Drosophila melanogaster: one gene and its partner. The protein of the gene in region 1 purifies or fractionates together with the protein of each later gene. This does not show direct contact. Each region holds a gene or a part of one and is shown in the gene's direction. Other genes may lie near its edges.

The links. Proteins that work in one complex are often made in the same cells at the same time.
Region 2: the proteins of dpr2 (region 1) and cDIP purify together in Drosophila melanogaster (affinity purification with western blotting; 2 studies listed by BioGRID). This does not show direct contact.

Annotation. Positions count from the first base shown.
Region 1 is NT_033779.5:10,960,282-10,966,944, reverse strand, and holds the start of dpr2 (defective proboscis extension response 2), read left to right. Parts: upstream 1-2,791; 5' UTR 2,792-3,719; intron 3,720-5,577; 5' UTR 5,578-5,720; coding exon 5,721-5,859; intron 5,860-6,663. Other genes in the region: Tmem214 (transmembrane protein 214), read left to right, coding at 536-952, 1,035-1,153, 1,226-1,340.
Region 2 is NT_033777.3:21,157,991-21,164,081, reverse strand, and holds cDIP (common Dpr-interacting protein), read left to right. Parts: upstream 1-2,989; 5' UTR 2,990-3,027; coding exon 3,028-4,692; 3' UTR 4,693-4,844; downstream 4,845-6,091. Other genes in the region: CG5810 (uncharacterized protein), read right to left, coding at 1-292.

The DNA of each region.
Region 1 (6,663 bases):
CATGTTTTCTTCATTAAATTTGTGCAAAACCTATACAAGTGTTCCTAAAAATTGAAAAAAAAGTATCTACACCAATTAAGCATAGCCTGCATATTGAATATAAATGTTTTTAATCTGGACAAAATGGTATTATAACTACGTATTTCCAATTTTTAATTATCCCCATCCTCACTCGCGGTTTTAGCTTACTCTTAAATCTTAGGTCATCGAGCTCAGTCGCAAAAAAAGCTCAGTTTAAAAGCTCAAAAAGTCTCGTCATTCTTTTTAGCAAACACAATTGCAATGATAAACACAATAAATAATTAAACATCTTTTGCGAACAGCTGAGGAAATCTAGAAATACTCTTCATAATCGAAACTCATTGAAATTAAGTTAGAAAATGGCTCAGGTTAAACCGAAAAGTAACAAACAGAGCGGCAAACCAGTGCCGGCCGCCAAAAAGGTAAAAAATTGAACTCAATCAAATGATTCCACAATATCAACTATCCCCAGCAATTAAGATTCTTAATAATTTTCTAATTTTGTACTATGTAGAGCGTCCAAGAGAAGAGCAGCGCGCAGCAGAAGAAGAACAAACAGAAGGCCGCGGCAGAAAAAAAGAAATGCGGATGCTGCAAGTGGACCTTGGGTAGCATCTTCATCATCGCCCTGATTGCCGGAGCTCTGTACTACGATACCGAGGTGAACGGCAAGGGCGTGTTCGAGAAATCGGCCACCGGCAAGGTGCTGAAAAATGCCGGAGTCCTGCCGCATGTCCAGAAGTCCTGGTACACGGTCATGGGGGCCGGAGCGCGGGGCTACAAGTGGGCGGAAGTGAATGTGCCGCCGTACGCCGAGCCGGTGATCAAGACCACCTGTGACCTGTGGAAGCTGGCGAGGAATGCGGCCTGCAACGCTTACCAGAACGGCAAGGGATACTTTGGCGCCAAATGGCCCGTTGTGGCAAAGTTCGTAAGTGTCTTTTAGTCGCCATGAAGATGAGGTCATGGGCAAACCAGTTTTGAATTAATAATACGTTCCATCTATATTTTAGATTGACCAATACGTGCCCAATTCGTCTGGCAAAATCGAAGCTTTTGCCGCTGGCGTTAGCGATTTAGCCGCCAGCAGCTATGAAAAGGCTGCAGCGCTCATCAAGGAAAAGGTGCTTGTGTAAGTATGCCTGCCTGCCTGGCCTTTGTTGTCTTTGAGAATGCATCCCTTATGATTGTGATCTTTGTTTAGTGGCCGTCTCTCGCCCGAGAACATCAATCAGGCGCTGAACCAGACGCGTAACGCCGCCCTGGAGTACTACAACCAGTTTCACAAAAAGGTCGACGCATACGCCAAGCTCAAATGATTTTAAGCGTCAGGAACGCTTACTTCTCGAACAGCAACATCATCAGCAGCTGCAGCAGATGCAAACAGAATACGCGTCATAGTAAATAGTGAAGGAAGCCCTAATTTTTCGCAAAAAGTTAAAAAACCGGAAAATGTTCTATAAGTCGAAACTCAAGAAGTCATTCACATTTATCAACAACTTCTCGTCAAGTTTAATTAAGAAAAAGCAATACGAGCAAATCTTTGTGGATGCCGATAGTACACTAACAATCTAGTAAATTCAACCTCGATACTGATAAATTAGTGAAAGACACGAGAAATTTTCTGTTGTAAAACATGTGTTTAAACATTTTTCTCCAAGTTGAGAAAACATTATTTTTAAATTCGTTTACAACGGCATGAGAGTTTTGTGAAAAGTTCTACCATTGAAATTTTGTAATTGTAATTATTAAAGTGCGTTTTTTGTGGCGATGCGCGAAGTGTTAACTCTATTGTGTTAACTGAACTTAACAATTCCAACTGCATTTTGAAGGCAAACAATAGATTCAAATATTTTTATACTTTTATTCATAGTTTTCTTGCATTTGTGTGTACATTTCTGTAGACTCCTCCCCAATACTTGCATAATAGCGCGATACTTTTGATTTGATTTTAAATCTCATTTGTATATTTAATGGAAAACACGATTTTGCATAAATAAAATAAAATTGAAAGATGTGAAGTAAAGGCGTATTTCTCAATGTTTTTCTGTGCTTGATTATGTTTTTGGGGGCATATTGATGAATCGTAAGATTCTGAACACACCTGTTGGCATTGGCAGCATGGCTTGCACTACACACTTGTTTAAATTGGAAAAGCGGCTTGAAAGCAGTTTTTATTTCCCAAAAGAGACTAGAATTTAGATCAGTAATATTTCCTGGGCAATTTTTCTAGAACAGTTCTCTCGAAACTAAGCAGTTCAAATGTTTTGCAAGCAGTCCAAGAACTAAAATTTCCCTAGGTTTTTGTTACCCATATAAGCAGTGAAGAGAAATTCCTAAGCAGTGTATCATAATTCAAAGCAGTGCAAACAACAAAAAATTGTTGCGTATTTGAAAAATAACACCTTTAAAGTTGAAGAAGTTTTAATTATATTTCTAAAATATTTATAAGCTTTGGTATCTTCATGAAATGGCATGATTGGATAGAATCTTTTCCTAATTGGTACAACAAAGTAGGGTTCTCATTATAGTTGCTTAAATTCTCCCCGCAAAATTTCCCTTTTAGACGTTCATCTTGGAGACAGTCGCCCCTTCAAATACAAGGATTTTCCCGAATTCGCCGCAAAGTCACCCGTTTTCGGAGTGCGGGAGTGACAATAACAACCAACTCGTCGTCCTGTTCGTGGCTGGCAGGACTCGGTTCACATCGGAACGATTACTTGCAGCGCGGAGGAAACAACAATACGGAAAAGCTCCGGCCTCGGATGCCGCAGTATCAAATGAATTTCAAGTCGCGGCGCACGTGTTTCGTCCTTTGGCGCGGATGTGACTACGAGTCCTTATCGCAGATTGTGGTCCTGGCCACGAAAGGATATCTCGTAGTTGCCGCATTCGATAGCGGTGTCGCGGTTTCCCAACTTTCCCAACTGCCGCATCTGTTTTTTCAACTTGTGCGCGAGACGACACTAAGATCGTTCGGCTTCGATTTCGCTCAGTGTATAATGCTCTTGAGGCAAAAGTGAAGTTTCGAATTGGAGGCCGCTTTATGCGGCCAGTGAAAGATATTGTCCCCTGAATTAATTGTCTGTTAAAAACTAACATTGGATGTTTAAATGGTTAAATTCATGGGAAATATTCGCCCTGCTGCTGCTGACACCAAAATTGAGTCGAATAACAGCTTTAAGTACATTAATATTAACCCACCCACACTGCTCTTTCGCATTCAATGTGGCTCGATTTTCCCTCCTCGAAAAGTGGAGCACAGATAAATCAGAGAAAAACATTTATTTCTCATCGGAAATGAACTCGGACGGGCGACGTGATTTAATGCCAATCGAAAATGCATTTGTTACTCAGGTTTCTTGCAAATTATACGCTTAGCGATAGGATTGAAACACAGAAAACAAAACACATTTTTTACAGACTTCAACTGAAACTCCAGACAGTTGCATAAACAACAACCAAGAGTTTCGTGCAAAAATAAATGTTAAATCAAAGTTTTTCCAAGTTGAGATGGAAGTTTTTCCAAGTTCTTCTTCGCCTTATCTGCTTTTGAAGTTCACTCGCATTTTTCCTCTGAAATCCAGGGCAGAATGAAAAATCGGAAATATGTACCTAATGAGCACGTGTGTTACGGATTGACTTTGAAGTGAGTCCTCATTTCTAATGAGTTCTTGTGGTGATATGAAGTAGGAAAGGTAATTAATTCACTAAACCACAAAAAAGTTAATGAGGTGATGCGGAAAGGTCAAAGTTGTTCCGTCAATAAATAAACTTTCCACAGACAGTCAATAATTGGTGTAGTTTTGGACTTTTAAAACTTTTGCAAACATGTACACATCCATTTGTTAGCACTGGCTTTGATTTAAAGCATTTTTTGCACATATTATACTATATAATAAAGTATAATTACATTTAATATTTAAGCAAAAAGGCAAAAGGCCGACCTTGTTTTAGTAAAAACTCGTTAAGTACGACAGTAAAAAAAATTTTAAGGAAAACTTCTTGGACAATTTGCCAGCTGCCTTTAAAAGGACTCGACAAAGGCCAAGGACCTCGCAGGACTCTTTGCATGTGGCATTAATTAAGTGCCGCTTGAGGGAATAGTATTAGATGAGCTTGTCTCTCATTAATCTTATAACCTTATAAAGAATGGCTTGAATAGGGAATAGCAGTATATACATATGTCCGGGGACAGCCCCCAAAAAAAGAAGACATTGAAATCGAACCGTTTTCCTCGCTCTTTTGGCCGCCTTTCGTGTTTTTCTAATTGAATTTTCTTTCGAGCTTTATGCCTTGACTTTTCTCCTTAAAGATCAAGTGGTCTCCAGGTGCTTTTGTGGCTTTTTGGCCGGGTGTCCAGGTGATTAATGTGCAACCAGGTTTGCTTAATTAACTTGCATTTATGCCTGAAGTACACAACGGAAGACAAAAGCCAGTTGCTAAATTTGATAAGTGGGCTTAGTTGAATTTGAGTGACTCTGCCATAGAAGTACAATATATATCATTAATTAACAGCAGACTGTACTTGTGGCACTTAAAATGGACTAGCCTAAAATTATAAATGCATCATTATCGCGATGAAAGTTTGGCATTAAATTATCCAAAAAGTAACAATACATATCCAAAACCACTAAATTCAATTAACCAACGATGCCATGAAAATAACAATTGCAGTGCGCATTTTAAGCTGATTCCATGTTAATTTTACCACCATTGTTTGATTGGCATCGCAACAAACAACAACTCATTACACAACTCCAGCAACGGTTGAAATCATTTAAGTGCTGTGGTAATGATAACTGAAGGGTGGGTCGAAGGGCATGGAATCGATATTTATTGAATACAATATCTCTTGGATCGTTCGTGGAGCACGATTGTAACGTGAAACAAAGCGCAGTTTGTGGAGAAATTAACATTTTAATTGGTTTTTGACCCTTGCACATTTCGTGAGTGATCAAGGCTACACCTTTCAGTTGCACAATTTATGTGTTTTATGGCCAAATAAAAAACTATTTGAGTGCGGCTTGCGGGTTGTAAATATACAAATTGCGTTGGTTAAAACTGCTCCTGTGACATGGTGGCGATAAGCAACTTGCCACTACAGACAATATATGAGGGCTTAACAAATACAAACGTAAACATTCCGAAAATGTAAAAATAAATTAATGCCGTTGCAATTTGATACAGGATAAATGATGTGAATGAAGGACATTTATAATGAAGGCCTACGGTTAATATCAATGTTTGCTTCAGTTAAATGCTGTACGAACATGGAATTCGATGGACGAAATTGGTTTTTCACATACCCCAACTATAAACTTGGCTATATATGGCTTGAATCCTTTAGAATTTGCAAAAAAATATAACTATTTAATTATATTCTTGTCACAAAAAAAAAAAAAACACTTTTATAATTTTTCAATGATTTATGTTAAGTTAGGCAGCAGTGCAATGAATGGCTGCAATAATTCAAATTAATTCATTTCAAGTGCTTTTCATGAATATTTCACAAATAATAGCGTTAATGAAAATGTTTCCTCCCTCTCTTTATAGAATGCACTTCAAAAACGATTTAGGAACCAAACCATTAGCAGTAATGTAAACCAAAATACGTAAACTTGTGGGGCTAAATTACACTCATCTAACCGCCATTGAGGTGAATAAATATAAATAAGTAAGATCCGGCTCGCAGGACCATGGCTATGGAGGGAAAATGCTTCGGTTGCATCGCAACGCCAATCCTCGTAATAATGATAAGCATTTCGAGAGCTTGGACAATGCAACAACAACACTTGAGTCCTGCCATCCAACAACATCCTGCAGTCAAATCGTTGTGTAAGTAGATCTCACTCGCAATTCACACATGTTCAATTTAATAGTGCACATATAAAAGCATATTTCAATACCATCTCTAAGATATGAATTATGAATGTATGTGCTATAAATTAACAATGACCAACGGCCGTAGTTAAGTTTATTAAAATTTTACATATCATATACGTATTTACTAATCACAATTGTAAGCCAAAATTGACTATCAAGGAGGAGGCACAAGTTAATTAGTTGACTTCATTTCGTATGAGGCAGACGGTAAATAGCATAATATATATCCAGAAAAGTCACTATTGAGAAATGACTTAGTTTCCTTGATAAATCAAATATGGTATCTTTCCTCTTCCTGACTTCATTCCCAGTGTATGAGCGCCTTTTTTTTTTGGCCTAATGCAGTAAATGCCTAAATCAATTATGGCCAGCAGGCGAAACAGAAAACTAGGGCGAAAAAATAGGCAAATAAACCAAATGAGCGAGCAAAGAATAAAATCTACTTAGCACATGTAGACTTTAATTAAATCATGGCCAAGAGCAGAGTGAGCACTCTGACAGGAGACACCGACGAGCCATCGCGACCTTCATCCTAATCTGCAGACACCCAGCCGGGGCACATCCTTCGCCTCCTTCTTGGGGTGAGGGGGGGGGGAGGTCTGGAGGCGGTTCTGAGCCCCAAACTCTGTTGTGTTTGTGGCTTTCGGGCGAAGGAGGCTAACGCACGATGGATTTTTATGTTTATGCTAGACATTACTTGGCCATGTTGCTTACTTTCGGTACCCAAAAAAAAAAACAAGCAACTATAATGCTGTG
Region 2 (6,091 bases), on another chromosome or scaffold:
CACACTCCAATACATGGAATTCCACAAGTTGAGGAAGGTTCAAAAAGATTTTTCTCGGCAAATTGGCCAAATCGGAGCTGTGAAGAACGAGAGTTTCGTACTTTCTCAAATGTTTAGTCACATTTTCTGAGAAGTAGGCAACTGCTGAAGCAGAAGGGTATTTCAAATTCGTGCACGTATTTTCGCGGCAATCCAAACTATCAATTGCAATTTCCTCGAGTTTTTGTGACTCACAAGTCGCAAAAGCAATCACAGCGATTAAAATATAGTTCAGATAGTTTAGCATCCGCATCTTGGCTTTAAAAGACTGAGCAATTTTTGGCTTGGGGGGCATTTTAATACAAAACCAGAACACAACCTTCAGAAACCAGCCAAAAAAAAAAACAAAAAAAAGCGAAAACAGGTCTTTAGGCGCTAGTTTGTTTGTTTGTTTTTCTGTCGACCCCCTCCACAATCTGGTTCGATTTTTTGTCAATAAAATTTTATTGTTCCTCTCAATGAATATATTTGCTTTGTTTTTGCTTCTACGATTCGCTGGGAAATATTATCAGGCTTTTGTCATAATACCCGGCCGATAAGCACGATCTCGCGATCCTCCACTTCATAACACATACTCGTAGTTATGGTTTATAGTTTATGGCCCAGTTGTGCCAACTGATATGGAATGGCTGCTGTTTTGTGGACGATGTATTGCCATTGCAAAAGTAAGCCAATGTATGGCTACATTACGTCTGGCCTGTCGCTCTGATAATCATGGGAATTGTTTACAGCAGTTAATTGAGATTAATATCTTTTGATGGACTAAGGACTGCATATGGTTTCGATTGAAACTTTAACTATCTTAACTATCTTCACTTTCTTAGCTTGATTTCTTATCTTTAAAGCGAATAATGTATTTCCCCGCATTTGCTGCATCTAATTAAGCTATAAATATGTTCATAAAATCAGTCTACACTGATATAAACTAACTTGTTTCGTAGCAAAAAATTGGATATTATTTATAAAGCCATAGTTATTGAAAGCATTTCCGCCTTAGAACAAATTTACAAAAGCACTTGGACATAAACTTGCCAATTTGAATGGCAATTAGCTCATTTTCCAGTTATATCACCATCTAGTTGCGTCATCATTGCAGTCAGATGGGTGGAACAACCTTTGGATATCCTGAGCATTTAGCGTTCGAATGACCAATAAACCCAATGAAATAAATCAAGTGCCATAAACCGACGGCGCCATATAAAAGCACCCACAATAGAGGCGTAAAATGGTGCGCTATATGTTCTGATTTAATATATTTCTATATCGCATTTGTTTACACTGCTAAACTATTGGGCGAATTTGATTTGAATAAAGTACAGACGGCGGGGACAAAGTCTCGACAGAATAAAAGCCTGGTAATTTTCACTCTTTGTTTTTTTTTTTTTATTTCTCGAAACTTGTATGCAAAGTAATTGCGGCAAATTGAATTCAACAAAGGGGGCACAGGCGAAAAAGTGAAAAAAAGACGCTAAACGAAGTCATGCCGTTTCAATTGAGATACAATACACAGCTACAATAGATACAGATACAGCTATGGCAAATGCCATGCAAAGAACAAAAGTCGTCTTGAGTCGAGTAATTTAAAAGCCATTGGCTCATAATAAGCCCAATGCAAACAGGCAGATCAATTGTGAATACATAAAGTGAAAAAAATTAGCCATCGATATTCAAATTGTTTGTTTGCCCAGGCGGCCAAAGCCGAGAAAATCCCAACGCAAACGAATGGAAAATTAATTTTTAACATTTCAACAAGCGTATAAATTTGTTTGCATACAAATTAATAAGGCTCTACCTGTCATAATCTTTTTGTTTTCGCCCGCTAAGCTGCAACTGGCAAATTGAACGACTGAGAAAGCAGGTTGAACGTGTTCTCAAAACCGCTGGCATGTTGGCTAAATAATTGGCTAAATATTTTACACATTTTTCCACTGGACATGTCACCGCTTCGCAGGCGAAAGTTCTGGTTTCGCTATATTTACGAATGTTTTTCGTGTAAAGGTGCCTACATTCTTGCCTGATTGCTTTAAAAATAAGACTAGGAATAAATGCAGACGACAAAGTAGTTAACGGAAGTTCGTTTGCTCTTATCAAACCGAAACTCAAATGCCCTCCACTGAATTGTTCGCCTGATAAATAATGAGTCATTCGGGCAATCATCAGCAAAACTACACAACGCAAGGCAGTGCCAACAAAATGCTAAATGGCTGTTGTGTAAATTATATAGAAGGTATTTTAAGCAACGTTTCCACGCGCCTATATTTTCGATGGTAAAAGCCAAAGATGGATGGGCCCCAATGAAAATACTCTTACATAAAAATGGGCGAATGTCTGGCCTCATGTCCACTATCAGCAGCCAAAAGAGATTTCCACCTTTTGTTCAGCAAATCGCTAAGTAAACACTTCATGATAAGAGAACACACTGGAAATGAGTGGGAATTGCTCCACAGATATTGTACAAAGTTTTGTTTTTTTTTTCAAAGTCTGTGAGTTTTGAATGGAGCCAACAGAGCGAGAACTTCCATAGAGCAGCAAAAAATCATGAATAATAAACGGAAAAGCAGCACAGACAAGTGTCAAAATAATGATAGGTACAAAAAAAAACAAACCGATTTTCATCTCTCTCGTACAGCAAAAGATGTTAATTTCTTTTAAAAGGAGTTCCCAGACAAATAATTGTAATTAAATCTATTAATTAGTCAGCAGTGATTTCCAAAGCATCTCAATTCTTCGAAATAGAAATAGTATTTCAATCCGATTTCAAAAAAAAGAAAAAAACCCTGCCTTACATTTTCGAAATGCGCTGTACCCGCCACAGATGAACCATATTTATTTTCGCAAAATCAGAACACCATGAATAGAATGGGATGGCAATTATATAGAACTGATGATCGTTATTTGAGCATTATAGAGGAGCTTATCTGGCCAGGCGTTTGGCGGTCAACGTTTGGAATCAGTTTCAGGTCGAACGTGAATCGTGGAGCACGCCAAATGTACGTCCGGAATTGTCTGCCGTTCCTCTGCAGCTATTTGCTGATCTCATTGGCGGCCACAGCTACTACGGATGAGGACGCGGATGCTGATGTGGATAGTGGCTCATCCCGAATAGTGCTGGTCTCCAGCTTGGAAGGTCATTGCCAGACGGAGGGCAAGGTGACCAGCTGCAGGGGCTTTGAGTTTGCGGGAGAGGACGAGAAGGCCACCTTTGATCTGCCAACGGAGGTGCGGATTGCCGAGGATGGCACCACCTACGAAGTGGGCGATGAGGAGCACTCGCGAACCCTGATCTTCGAGAACTGCACCTTCACCAATTTTCCCCTGCGCTTATTTTACACACTAGAGGTCAGTGAGCTGGACATGCGCGGCTGTGGCATCCGCTTCATTTACTGGGAGAACTTCTCCATTGGTGCGGATAAGCTGGTGATTCTTCTGCTCAGCGATAATCACATCGAAGTGCTGCCCACGAAAACCTTCAGGGGAGCAGGAAACTTGGAGTTTATCTTCCTGAATCGCAACAAACTAGGCAAACTGCAGGCGGGTGCGTTTGATAATCTCCTGAAATTACAGTACCTGGATCTCACAGAGAATCGCCTGGAGGCTTTAGCCGCGGACGTATTTGCCGGACTGAAGAGTCTGCGGCACGTGGGACTGGCCGGTAATCAACTGACCACCATTGAGAGCGATTTATTTGCCCACAATCCGGACCTTTTGTCGGTCGCAATGCAGAACAATCGACTGCGAGAGGTGGGCGAGTATGCCTTTCGATCCCGCGGACGACACCATCAGATGCAGTATGTGGATCTATCGAATAACCCCGAGCTGGTCGTTCTACTGCTGAACATTAACGCCACCAATTTGACCGCTCGCAATTGCTCGCTGGACCGTGTCAATTTGTACGGATCGGTGACGAATGTCGATCTGAGCGACAATCGCGTGCGCGAGCTGTACTTTCCCGCCTCCGAGGCACTGGAGCATTTGGTGCTGCGCAACAACTCGCTGGTTCAGCTGGCGTCGTTGAGCCGCGTGCCCAGACTCCGGCACCTGGATGTGGCGGACAATCCGAACCTGGGTCAGTTGCCCGACGGTTGGCGGACGCCACATCTGGAGATGCTGGTGCTGCGGAATACGGGCCAGATGGAACTGCCGCTGGAGGCGTTGCAGGGTATGCAAAATTTGCAGAAACTTGACATATCCGGCAATAATTTGACGGAAATCGATCCATCCGCGTTCCCCACGCTCACGCAACTAACGCACTTCTATATTCATGGAAATAACTGGAACTGCTTCAGCCTGAGAAACATAATGGATGTGCTCATTCGTGCCAATGGCATTGCCTATACCGTGGATAACTACGATCCCGATTTTCCGGGGGAATACTTTCACGGAATAGCCTGCATGTATCGCTTGCCCGAAAAAGAGGGTGTGGACTCCTCCTCCTCTTCGGAAATCTCCGCCAGCGTAGAGTCCTCGCCCATAACAAGTAGTTCTGATCCCAGCGAGGTGGACAAACTGCGCGATGAACTGAAAGCAGTGGTGCAGCACTTTGATTCCAAGTTCGATTTGATATTCAGTAAACTGGCCCAATTGAATGAACAAATTCAGGCCTTTGAAGTGCTCAACAAAACTGTTTGGAGTCAAGTGACCTTGTCCGTTTGAAGTTGTTAAATATGGCCCATTTTTTATGTGATCACTACATTTTCAAAGCTTTACAATTATATGTATACATTATAATTAATATTTGAAGTATTTCCTAAAGCTTCTTAATTTTAAACATAAAATCTTTCGATCCAATAAATAAATCATTTTTTAAATTGTTGGAAGAATTCCACTAAAGAATTCGCGTGTATGTTTTTTTTACCAGTTCTTGATAATATACAAAGTTGGAACCATAATCTAACAAAACAGGAAGGCTTTTCGTCTTTGTTTAAGATTTAGTTTCCTAGAATATCATTTTTTTCTACGCCTATTCAATTCCTAATCTCGAAAACAATTTCTGCTCCATTTCCCTGCTGATTTTGCATACTCAACCCCAAAAAACCAATACAATTTGCAACATGAGCACATCTAGTAAATATTTATTGCTCGCTGTGTCGTATACGTAGAATAATATTTAAACAATAATATTGATTTTCGAGCAAAGCAAAGTTGGGTTCTTTTTCTGAAAGATATTGAAAGAGGTTCGTTCAACTCGGGCTGGCGAACCAAAATGGAAAAACGAGAAGAAAACTGGAGGGCGAAGACAAGATGGTGGGGCTCGGGGAACTTGAGTTGAATTGAACAAAGTCAAGTCAATTACAAAACCAATATTTTCGGAAACTAAACAACAATATTGAATTCGATCGAATGGACCAGAAACCGAGTTATTTTATTGCCATCTGCTAATGCGAACAGTTTTAATTATTTATGCTTTATCCCTTCTATTCGCTTACTCGCACATTTATGGCTAACTAATTGCTAAGATAAACAAACAGTTTCGATTTCAGTGCAGCCACTTCGTAAGGACGGAAAGTAGAAACAAATCCAATTTCACGGATCTCGACGATCACTGGTCGATCTGCTGATCCGGAGTATCGTGTGCATGTGATTAGGAATAAATCCATACATACATATGTATATCCATTCGAACACGAGTTTCAAATACGTTTTGTTTACATTGGCAGTGCAATTTTTGTTTTAAGGTAATTGGCGGCACACAAATCGTGGCAGCTGTAAGTGCGAACATTCAATTTTACCATATAGTGCGACTGACTATCTGCGACTTCTAGTAGTTGTATCCGCAGATCAAAGTTCGACATTTCCTGATTGCCAACTTCAGTAGCTATCTTTTTTTAATTTCTGGGCATTCGCTTGAAGTGTGCTTACTTAATTAGTCAATGTCTAAAATGTAGTAGGCATCGTGATAGGGTACTTTTACATTTAAAGAAATCCACTCACGATTTTATAACCATAACTTCAAATGAGTTTCGACAAAAAAAAGTCGTATGAAGAATTCAGGTAAGACCCTTTGAATTGTTTTATGTTATTATATTTTACATTGCCTGATTTAATACTGTTA